3 linked regions of the Bombyx mori genome follow. The protein of the gene in region 2 binds, or shares a complex with, the protein of the main gene of each other region. Links are inferred from orthologs where the notes say so. Each region holds a gene or a part of one and is shown on either strand. Other genes may lie near its edges.

Region 1 (3,310 bases), on a different chromosome or scaffold from region 2:
TCACAGCTCAGCCTAAGAGAATTTCCTAACAAGAGCAGTGCTTCTCTGGATCTACCACTGGATCACAATCGTGACCCACTAGTGAGAAACTCAGTAGGTAACTACTACTAGTGGCTAAAGAAAACCATGCAGTTTTTTTCCTTAATGGGCTAATGGGCTCATGGCTATCTTGATGTTACTAGCACAAGATTTATTCTGGTTTGAACGGCAGGGCAGCCACTGTAGTATGGAACTGATGTCTCAAGGTGGGTGGCATCTCATACATTTACTTATTGGTGAAAATGAATAGTTTTAGTGGAGTTTATAAACTTGTTTCACTTACCTTGTACTTTGTGTATAAATCTTCAGATTCGAGTTCATCAAAAGATTGAGGACCAGCAAACGCCAAGCCTTTTGAGTCTGTGACTTGGTCATCCTAAAAAGTTCAATATTATGTGTAAAGGTTGTGTTACAGTTATTCGATTAGTAAGCCTTTTTTTGAATACTTACTTTCTCGGGTAAAATAATTCCAATCTCTTCCATTGTTTCTATAGCTAAGAGATTTCGTGTACTATCTGATTATTATTTGATTATCTGAAATGTGTTTTACACAGAGACAAAGTGTAGTAGACGATCAAACCTGAACATTCGTACCTAGTTATTATTTGGTTATTTTAATTCTTTCTGTCTAAAACTGCAATTCAATGATTTTTGACATTTCGTAGCGCAAACTTTTTAAGATGTGTAGTTTGTTCTTAGTTGATAGGCAAAGGAAATGTAGTCATATCACTCTAATAGCTTTTTTTAAATGAAATGGTTAAATAATTATTTCGTGTTTCATTAGAATGAAGTGAACCCTTTCAAAAGAAAAGTAAAATTAAATAGAATGAAATAAACCAAAATTGGAAATGACTCTGAAACAAAAAAAATCAATAAAATGACATAGGTACCTCAGTTAATTACAAACTGCAATGGAAGCTCTGGAAAATACATAAGAAGTTATGTGAGGCCATTTTTTTCTAAATATTGACATTGTGCATATTGACAAAAATTAAATGAGTCAAGCATACGAATGCATGCAATCTTCCAAGATCAACTTTCAATTTTTATAATGTTGGAAACGCGAAACGTATAACATGGGTCGGCGCGGCGGTCCAGATGCAGACCGCGCTCTGCCCACAGATTGGTATAATAGTTACTACGTGTCTGTTTAAGGTCAAGTCATAGTCAAGTCAAATAGTGAATTCATAATCTTAATATTTGGCTTTTTTAGTCTGTACATTCGCTATACCTTTGCCTGTCAAATGGTACAACAAAATAAAAAAGGCTTCTAATCTAACCTAAAATTGAAACATTACAATAATTCATAAAAATATTAAATAAATATTTAGATTTAATATAAATATTGTAAAAATACTAAACAATCACACTGTTCTAAACTTTTCTTGAAGATATACAGAAATGGCGACCCCTGAAATGATGAGTGAAGTTGATCAAATTAAAACTGTAAATATTTAGTATTTTCACGAAATAATTTGTTAAATAATGTTATTTCTGAATTATTCCACTTATTTAAAAATATAATTTAATTTCTTAAATTCTTTAACATTTCTCCAATAATTATCATCTATATGCCGGTACATTTTGTTTAGTGTTTTCAAATTTCAGTAGAAAATTTAATTTTTTTCAAATTTCATTTCAGTTCAAGGATTTCCTTGTACAATACAACAAGCTGTCTGAACTTTGTTTCAATGATTGCATTCATGATTTTACGTCGAGGACTTTAAAATCTACCGAGGTAAGGAATAGCTCGATTAGTTAACTATATTTTCGTCTGTTACTTTGCCCCCGTGTAACGCTCTTTTATGTGTGTTCCACGGTGGCATGAAATGTAGCTTAATTCTTAGAGGAATATAAGCTTATTACTTTCCCTGATATAATACTATTTTCCCTGAATTTTCAAAATTAGTTCAGCAATTTAAGTGTCAAAATTGAATACAGCAGTTACTTTCTTGTTAATTATATCATTTGAAATATAACTTTCAATCACTGTTAAAAATACCATTTGCAGCATATGATTTTAATGTAAGAAACCTTATGTTCTGTTCAAAATCTGTAATCTGCCCATCTGTCTGTGAAAAACTACATGTAAATGTATACAGTAGATCTGGAGCACTGAATATGGACAGCCAAATAGAGACTGGCAGAAAATAATTACAGGAACTGCTGGCTTCTATAATTCTTTATTTCATTTTTTTCTTTAATGTACAGAGTCACCAGATTCAGTGTTATCTCATGAATATTAATGAGTTTTTTCTTTATTCTCATTTTGTGGCATTTGTTGACAAATAGTTCAAGTAATTATTATTTTTGGCTTTTATTACATTTGACAGGTGAGCATTGTATCCCTGTGATTATTAAAGCAGGATAGCAGTTAGTGGGAATGTTAAATGAAAATGGGTGTTTCATTACATAGATCACTGATTGAAATGTGTTATCTTTTAGGACAAATGCACTGTCAACTGTATGGAGAAATATCTACGAATGAATCAGAGGGTTTCACAAAGATTCCATGAGTTCCAAATGCTTGCCAATGAAAACATGTTAGCATTAGCACAAAAATCTGGTAACCCTAGTTAAAAAGTATGGTATATTTGTGACTTATCTAGTCATTTTCTTTAAGGTGTAGTAAGAGAAAGCACACCCTATATAATGATATACTTGTGCAAATGTACAGTGTATGTCTAAATTGTTGTCAATAAAGTTCTGTTAGACAGATTCTTTGTTTTTCATTGCTTATCATTATTTTCAAATTCACTAATAGTGAATTACTGTCACACTTGGTTGTGTTATGTAAGATTATCATGAAAAAGTTCAATTCGTGTTTTTGATGAATTTATTCTAATTTTTGATAGTAATTGATATGGAAATTCATTAATTTGCTAAATTGTAACTTTCATAGACTAATCATAATTATTAATTTCGAAATTCAAAATGGAAGCATGACATATTTATTTTTTGGTTCCAAAGCTGCCACTGCCTGCACCGTGGCATTGCTTCACGGATCTGATATATCATTACCTGTCTATTTTATCATCATACTACTCGTTGCTAGATTAGAAATCACTAGCTTTATAAGGAGCTGTTTTACATACAATACATTTTATTTTCTTTTTACCATGAAATCTTTTGAGTTAATCCATTTATAGACAGAGATGATCACTTTGTGAGGTCAGTGTGCTTAGCGAATCAATCAATAGCGAAAAAGTTAACTCATATTTGTAGGCAGTTCGAACAGCGCCCCTAGCGGCAAACGTAGGCAAACGTTTTC
Region 2 (4,343 bases):
AATTAAGAACTTTTTTATGAAGGCACGTATTTTGATATTTTGATGTAGCGTATTTTTTAAAACTCGAACATCGCTAAATTGGATAATTTTTTTTTTAATTTGTCTTATTTTAAAACTCACATTGTTTTTCGTTTCCTTTCTTTTCATTTAAAGTTCGCTCTAACTGTTGGATACACCAACATAACTCGAGCTGAAACTGTCGTAACGATTCCTCGGGGTCTACACCTTCGGACTCATGTTTATCAATTTTACAAGGTTTCTGTAAAGATGTCGATTTGCCTTTATTGTGCAATCTTGTTGGTTTAGGCATTTTATTTATGATATTTTATATCGCCACGTTTTGAAACTTTGTTAATTCCAGAGAAGTTTTGATGAAGTGTAATCTGTGTATTATTATAATAACGGATGTATGTAACGTTCTCTTTGTAGTAACGAAACCAAGTCAACAGAGGACACTAACTTGGAAAAAACTGAAAACAAATTTATAGCATAGATAATTAAGTAGCATTTAGATCGGGTGCACATTGTCATTCCTGCCGGCACCAGTTTATTGTCTATGGTTGATACAGACTGTCCCGGTGACTATTTTATTTATTTATTATTGTACAATATATGCAATGCGATAGATTTTTATTTTAGACTAGCTGACCCGGCAGACCTCGTAGTGCTTCAATCGTTAAATAAAAGACCTAAACTTTTGTATAAAATAAACTTAAAACAAACAGCAGGAGTCCGTCCGACGGGGGACACATCAAAGGAAAAACAAATTGTTATTTTTATTTAATTCCAAGCATTTTCATATTTATCTACCTTTCAAACCTTCTCTGGACTTCCACAAATAACTCAAGACCAAAATTAGCCAAATCAGTCAAGCCGTTCTCGAGTTTTAGCGAGACTAACGAACAGCAATTCATTTATATATATATAAGATACGATAAGATAAGATAAGATAGATAGAAGATAGATTAAAGGTATTAAAAACTAAACTTCGCATTATGCCAATAGTTTGATGAATCGTTCGAATTAATTCTCTTCTGTACGTGTTATCAAATAAACCGGCCCAACCGATACGAATGAGTATTTCCGTCCGGGCTTAACATAGACAAATATTTTGAAGAAAAAAAATGTTTGCCAGGGAAGACCGCTGATGATTCTAATAATTCCTCAAATTTCTCATTAATATTAAGTTTAAACGAATCTTGTGTCTAATTTATATTTATGTACTCTATTATGGCAGATTAATCTCTACATTGGAAATCTGTAAGCTTAGCTCAAAAAATTTTATACCAAAAAGTTCACAAAGTTTAATTTATAATTAATAATTTTATTATTTAATTAATTTAATAGTTAATTTATGTATAATATAATTAATATAGCAGATTTTTCATAAAAACCCGTTCCTATGTAATGTTCCTCCTTTTAGTCGATACGCGCCTGCAATATTTCTTTACAATCATACGATCACATAGCGACATCCGGCTGTGACATAACGTTTTAAAAATTGGTACTAAAACGTAACCTTAAAGTTGTAAAAGCAATTCCAAAATTTCATAGTATGCCGCTTGGAAAATTTGGAAAAATTACTCTTTCGTGGTAAATAACTAAATAAGATATACCCAAGTTTATCACCAGCTTACTTTTGATTTACCTTTCGTTGGTGAGCGCAGAATTAAATTCGATTTTACTCATTTCATCATTCGTCTATTTAGCCAAGTTCTATTTTGTGTAAATATAATTCTACAAGATAAGTCAATTACCTATCACAGCGTATTATTATGCTCGCCTTTTATTACTTATTAATAAGAAAACATGAAAATTAAGTTATATACTCCACAACCTTGACTCTCATGTGTCTTCAGCCACAAGAAATCCATCAAAAATAACGTCATAACTTTGGAATAAACGTTAAAAGCGAAGATCTTCGAGCAAGCGGGTTTCATTTCTAGGGTAGACCCACGATCTTTTGTAAATATGCATACTTATCTTGGAAATGTTGTTAATGCGATTCAGTTATTTTGGAAATTACTTATAGTCTATGTTACCTTATACTACTACGCAAATACAAGACGAATCTGTATTCTAAATGAATTTGAACTCACGTTTATGCATTTAGATTAAAACTAGTGGATTTTATATGCATATTTTGTGGATTCTAACTTAATTAAAACTTGATAAGTCTAGTTTCTGAGATAAGTAGCTGTTATCGGCTGTTTCGCCTGTGGCGTTATAGAAATGTGTCAATTTAGTTTCCTGTGGGTATGAGATGTTTTTTTGGAATAAAAATCTCCTGACCTAAAACTATGTCAAAAAAATCATGTTAATTTATTGCTTCATTTTAAAGTGAATTAAAGACAGACAAGCACACTTTTTAATTTATACCATTAGTATCAACGTGTATGATGTAGTATGATTTTATTAATTAAGCTTAGTTATTTTATGTTACACGTTTCACAAATGTTCCAGACCCATTAGCAGAGAGAGGATGTTTTAACCCAGGATCGGTGTTAATTTCAGGTTAGCAATAACAACAGCAAGTTTATCATTATTCGTGGTGGCGAAGAACTACATTAATACTCAGCGTGTTGAGAATATGAAAGCAAGAGAACGCATGCGAAGATCTAATCAAGGAGAATACCCTGACTTGTATCGGAAATTGTGAACTTGAATTCATTATAATGTGAGTATCTCTCTAGTAACTCTAGAAAATACTGGTGAGTAACACTAAATTAACTGGTGATAGGACCTCATGTGAGTCCTCATGGTTAGGTACCACCACCCTGCATATTTCTACCGGGAGCAGTAATGAGTTTCGGTTTGAAGATTGGGGCAGTCGTCCTAACTATAGTGAGAGCTTTGAACCCATATCTCAAGGTGGGTGGCGGCATTTACGTTGTAAATGTCTGGACTCCAGATACAACTTAACACCAAGTGGGCTGTGATCTCGTCCGACTAACTAAGAAAAAAATTTGTATACAGTGTATGAATGTAACTAAAAAATATTTTAATCTACTGTAGTTTCCAGATATACCATTGAACATTACTTAGTTAAAACGTAAAGATGGCAGTACCGCAGCTAGACCCTGCAAAGCTGCAATTGGTGCAGGAACTGGAGATTGAGATGATGTCCGACATGTACAACCGCTTGGTGAGCGCATGTCACCGGAAGTGCATACCAATTAAATATCATGAACCTGAATTAGGTAAGCCAGGCAAAAAAAAATATGGCGAACATTATAATTATAGGGACCTTCAAAATTGTATTCATTGTGACACACAAATGGTTTATTAAACTGTGGTCGTCGTGGCCTAAAGGATAAGACGTCCGGTGAATTCGTATGTAGCGATGCATCGGTGTTAGAATCCCACCAGTAGTTACCAATTTTTCAATCAAATACATACTTAACAAATGTTCGCGATTGACTTCCATGATGAACGAATAATATCAAATAAAAAGTGTAATAGAAATCAAACCCGCAAAATTATAATTTGCATAATTACTGGTGGTAGGACGTCTTGTGAGCCCACTCAGATAGGTACCATCACCCCACCTATTTCTGCCGTGAAGCAGTAATGCGTTTCGGTTTGAAGGGCGGGGCAGCTGTACTGTTAAAAGTGACACCTTACAACTCATGTCTCAAGGTGTGTGGCGGCATTTACGTTCTAGATGTCTATGGGCTCCGGTAACCACTTAACACCCGGTGGGCCGTCTATCTAAGCAATAAAAAAGAAAAGAAAGATAATTATGACCTTCAATGTCCATTTGTTTCTTTTTAAGCCATCACACTTATGAAGTTTATGACCTATAGTTTATAATTATTATTATAAGCTAAGCTTTAGGGTTATACACTGTTACAGGACATCTACAAATACAAAAATATATAGATGATATAAAGATAGGTGATATTTAGAAAACTGATGTAGCATATGCTTTTAAAATAGATACAAGTATTTAAGAGATTTAATTGCCTCGCTTATATAGGATGAGTTAATTTTGAACATGATCTTCTCTTCTTACAGGAAAAGGCGAATCTGTATGTTTAGATCGCTGTGTAGCCAAATACTTGGACGTACATGAACGCATAGGTAAGAAACTTTCCAATATGTCACAAGGAGAAACCGAAGATCTCACAAAGGTCAACATACCAGACAAAAAATAGTACGAAGCTACTACTCACGACAAATCAATCAGTTGCTAGATTTTTCACAGTGACCAGTACAAGACATCTGCAGATTTGAGATATTTTGTTGTGAAAAATTTGCAGTAATATATAGGTGAAGTAGTCTTTCTATATATAATATTAATTCTGCCATTATGTCAGTACTTCACTATGAGAAAACAATCT
Region 3 (4,129 bases), on a different chromosome or scaffold from region 2:
GATTTAGCTGCATTTGTTATAACATGAAAACACTAAAGCATGTTCAACTAACTAAACAAGATAGAGCCATTGTTAATACATTTTACGACATTATGGCGTTTAGCTGCCTTTGATTTTATAGGCCTCAAATATATATATGTTTTTAGGATACAATTTATTCAGAAAAATTATCTAATTATTATTATTCACTCAAAATTTAAATCATAACAGTCCCCACTGTGGCCTCCATTTACAGAGTATTCCAAGGCAATGTATAATGAATATAAGTCGTCGTAGCCCAAAGGATAAGACGTCCGGTGCATTCGTATCTAACGATGCACGGGTGTTCGAATCCCGCAGGCGGGTACCAATTTTTCTATTGAAATACGTACTTCACAAATGTTCATGATTGACTTCCACAGTGAAGGAATAACATGTAATAAAAATCAAACCCGCAAAAATTCTAATTTGCCTAATTACTGGTGGTAGAACCTCTTGTGCTGCCGTGATGCAGTAATGCGTTTCGGTTTGAAGGGTGGGGCAGCCGTTGTAACTATACTGAGACCTTTGAACTCATATCTCAAGGTGGTTGGCGCATTTACGTTGTAGATGTCTATGGGCTCCAGCAACCACTTTAAATCAGGTGGGCTGTGAGCTCATCCACCCATCTAAGCAATAAAAAAAAGAAAAAGAATAATGTACATATATAATAGCTCCGTATGTAGCATTTGTAGGAAATAAGAAATAAAAATATTCAGCTTGAACTTTCATGTGTAATGCAAACACATTCTTACCAGTTACAGTCTCAGACAAAGTACCATCTCCTCCTGCAACAATAATAGCTTCAGTACCCCTTAATGTTTCTACAATTTCTTTTGCATTTCCTTCTGAAGCTGTTTGCACAACATCTACCTGAAAAGTTTGTGATTGTTGTATAGTTGTGCTAAGCACATGGGTCATGTGTCAAGGAGAATGGTATTCATGAATTGAATCCATCAAACTATTTCTACTTGTGGTAAGACATCTTGTAAGTCTCTGTGTGGGTAGGTACCACCACCCTGCCTATTTTTTGCTGAGAAGCAGTAATGCAATTTGGTTTGAAGGGTGGGGCAGTCATTGTACTGTAAAAATGAAGACTTTAGAACGCATATCTCAAGGTAGGTAGCTAGATTTACATTGTAGATGTGTATAGGCTTCGTTAGCCACTTAACACCAGGTGGTCCGTGAGCTCATCCATCCATAGAGCAATTAAAGCTATGGGCTGTAAATATATTGATTTGAATTAGATGAAAATATTGATCTAGATTAAAGAAGCGAAATCTTTACATTTTATTTCAGATTTTTATCAAATATATGTAACATAAAATGCAAATTCTTTATACAGTAGACCAGCACTAATTTAATATGCCTGTAACTGGATCATATCAGGTCTGGATCATATCATTTAGATTAAGAGACATATTGCTTAATATGTGACATTTATCTTTGTAAATAAAGCTAATGAAATAGCCTTTTACCCCTCAATATAAATTAATTCTGTTAAATTTTCATTAATGCATGTTTGAACTATGTATACAACATAATTCAAACCCCATTGCAAGACATTTGTCTAATGACAGATCAAATGTATAAACAATTTATTGAAAACTAGTTGACCTAGCACTTTTTAGTGCCTCAATCGATAAATAAAATACCTAAGCTTTTGTATAAAATAAACTTAGAACAAACAAATGGAATCCATCCAACAGGGGGGACATATCAAAGGAAAAAAGTGCTATTTTTATTCAATTTTGAGTATTTTCATATTTATCTACCTTTTAAACCTTCTCTGGATTTCCACAAATAATTTAAGACCAAAATTAGCCAAATCGGTCCAGTCGTTCTCTATTTTAGCGAGACTAACGAACAGCAATTCATTTATATATATATATATATAGAATAGATATAGAAGATAGAAGATTATACCTGTAAACCACCTAATAATAGCAATGGTTCACAATATTTCTCAAATTCTTGTTTTGCTTTCCTCTTGTTGGCTACAGGGTTGAGAATAACTGTTATGACTGTGGGGTTTCTTTCGATGGGCAGGAGAGCTTCGCCGTAAATTGCAGCCTCTTTACATGCTGCTCGCATAAGTATATTAATTCTGTTGACAATACATAAACTAGATTTTTTAAACTTAAGTGGTAGGCGCACAGGTGATAAAGGGGCGATTAACTTGGCTGGACAGTTAAAGTGTTGGTCAAATCTTTAGTAGTAGATAGCACATAAGCTGTGGTTCTGGAAATGCTTGTAGTGAGTAGGTACGGTAGCTGCATAACATCAGTTTGGTTCGTATGACTGCCATGGTGAAGAGATGAAAACTTTTTTTGTGAATTAGTAACTCAGTTACAAAATTTAGTTTTTAATTTGAAATTTTACGCACTCATATTTTTCTTTTGCAGTCGCACTAGCGTAGTATATAGCGACTGCACCAAGGACTGATTTCTTCCAATTGTTTCGTATTGTTTTGGCAAACTTCGCTATTCTTTCCATTTTTTTGCATTAAATCGAATAAATCAAACTATAAACATAAACATTTAAGGTTATAGAACTTACAGATCAGCTGTATAATTCTACTTTTTTTTTCAGAATGGCAATCGGCTTCTGGCCATGTCCTTGTTGAGCTGTTTAAAATTTATTGTTTTGTTTTGTTTATTTCGTCTATTCACATAGGAACGAAGTTGGTGAATTGTTTTATTTTGTTAATTTTGCTGTTCTTCAGGCTTCAATGTAATTACCATCCCATCTGTGAAAGCACACAAATGTGGTAAAATGAACAAAGCTGCTGTGCTGAAAAAGTCAACTCAAAAACTAAAAAGTCTCGTAAAATTTATTCTATTTCATCTTGTTTCCTTTTATTTCATCCCAATTGATTAAATGCTATTTCACTATTTATTTTTTTCATAATCTATGACTCGAAAGTCTTTTTATGCCATTAGGACTTTTTGGCGGGAACGCGAGGAGTGAAGTTGTGTGATTTGTTTTATTTTGTCTATTTAGTGTCTCTTCAGGTTTAAATGTGTAATAATGGTGGTTTATTAACTGTTTAATATCTGTGAAAGTGCACAAATGTGGGAAAATGAAACAAAGCTGCTGGACGTAACTTCTCGGGTTCCTTCAAAAAGACCACTGAAAAAATCTCAGTAAATGACCACCATTTTACTGCGATTATATTTCATCCCATATCATTTCATTTCATTAAATTTCATCCCAGTTGCTTAATGTCTCATTAATCATCTTCATTTCATTCCACTCCATATTATCATTTTTCATAAAATTAAGAATATAAAGTAAAATAAGACATGACTTAAAGGTCTTAGTTACCAGGTCATAAAATCTCTTAAAAAAAAAAAGTTTATGCCATTAAAATTCCTAAAAAAAAAGTCAATGACAGGTAAAGGAAAAGTAGCTCATACAGTCAAATCCTGGTCGCTCTGCCAAAGCGAAATTTTTGTTGTATAAAAAGTGAAATAGCATGGAAATGAAATTGAGAGGAATAAAATGAAACAATATGAATCCGGTGACATAGGTCAACAACGTAGGTGCAAGATGGGATAAAATAAAATAATCACCGAGTAAAATTATAAAATTTTGATGAATCATAAAAAGAACCTGAGAAGTCAAGTGCAGCTTCATTTTCCCGCAATTTGTGTAGATGTGACCTATGTAGATACTAAACGGTTGATATTGGTCTAGTATTTTTTTTATTACATATCTAAATTTAAGAAGAAACATTAAATTGAGAATATAATAGTAAATCCTTCAGTAATTTTTTGGTGTTCCCGCTAAAAAATTCCAAAATCATGTCATTAAATTGTTACCAGAGTAATCAATTCCTCACAATTCAATTTAATGTGTTCCAATGATTTCACATGCACAATCGATCAATGGGGATGTAAAATATCACTTTATCCATTTTTTTTATCGCTATAAATATTATTTACTTGCATGAAAATTAAATGATGAGTTTTCCGTTGTCAGAAATTAGAAGAATGTGCACATAAAATCGATTTTAACTCAAACTATGACGAAACCATTAAATAATCGAAGTGCAGCACTACGCAATACAAATTGATTTGTCAAGAAATACATTAAACATTATTCGTGA

What was found.
Region 1: the proteins of Tim10 (region 2) and mitochondrial import inner membrane translocase subunit Tim9A are in contact, whole or in part, in a crystal structure (PDB 2BSK), measured with the Homo sapiens proteins. The link is inferred for Bombyx mori from reciprocal best matches to the Homo sapiens genes TIMM10 and TIMM9. Residues at the interface, in NP_036588.1 of Homo sapiens: Glu16, Met17, Asp20, Met21, Arg24, Ala28, Cys29, Lys32, Cys50, Arg53, Cys54, Ser56, Lys57, Tyr58, Asp60, Ile61, His62, Arg64, Met65, Gly66, Lys68, Leu69, Leu72; in NP_001291414.1 of Homo sapiens: Lys15, Leu18, Gly19, Tyr21, Asn22, Lys23, Thr25, Glu26, Cys28, Phe29, Leu30, Val33, Asp35, Phe36, Thr37, Thr38, Arg39, Glu40, Val41, Glu45, Thr46, Glu50, Leu53, Leu57.
Region 3: the proteins of Tim10 (region 2) and acylglycerol kinase, mitochondrial are in contact, whole or in part, in a cryo-EM structure (PDB 7CGP), measured with the Homo sapiens proteins. The link is inferred for Bombyx mori from reciprocal best matches to the Homo sapiens genes TIMM10 and AGK. Residues at the interface, in NP_036588.1 of Homo sapiens: Glu40, Glu42, Leu43, Ser44, Lys45, Gly46, Ser48, Arg53; in NP_060708.1 of Homo sapiens: Phe49, Gly50, Asn51, Gln52, Leu53, Ile54, Pro55, Pro56, Val60, Ser91, Gly92, Met93, Asp94, Val95.

Annotation. Positions count from the first base shown.
Region 1 is NC_085124.1:8,580,128-8,583,437, forward strand, and holds mitochondrial import inner membrane translocase subunit Tim9A, read left to right. Parts: upstream 1-1,325; 5' UTR 1,326-1,440; coding exon 1,441-1,485; intron 1,486-1,681; coding exon 1,682-1,777; intron 1,778-2,484; coding exon 2,485-2,619; 3' UTR 2,620-2,756; downstream 2,757-3,310. Other genes in the region: 26S protease regulatory subunit 6B, read right to left, coding at 323-415, 490-522. UniProt on the Homo sapiens protein: Mitochondrial intermembrane chaperone that participates in the import and insertion of multi-pass transmembrane proteins into the mitochondrial inner membrane.
Region 2 is NC_085130.1:5,899,749-5,904,091, reverse strand, and holds Tim10 (mitochondrial intermembrane space translocase subunit Tim10), read left to right. Parts: upstream 1-1,527; 5' UTR 1,528-1,657; intron 1,658-2,514; 5' UTR 2,515-2,677; intron 2,678-3,015; 5' UTR 3,016-3,058; coding exon 3,059-3,200; intron 3,201-4,017; coding exon 4,018-4,157; 3' UTR 4,158-4,216; downstream 4,217-4,343.
Region 3 is NC_085118.1:2,014,787-2,018,915, forward strand, and holds the start of acylglycerol kinase, mitochondrial, read right to left. Parts: upstream 2,899-4,129; 5' UTR 2,515-2,898; coding exon 2,405-2,514; intron 2,126-2,404; coding exon 1,945-2,125; intron 892-1,944; coding exon 774-891; intron 1-773. UniProt on the Homo sapiens protein: Lipid kinase that can phosphorylate both monoacylglycerol and diacylglycerol to form lysophosphatidic acid (LPA) and phosphatidic acid (PA), respectively. Does not phosphorylate sphingosine. Phosphorylates ceramide.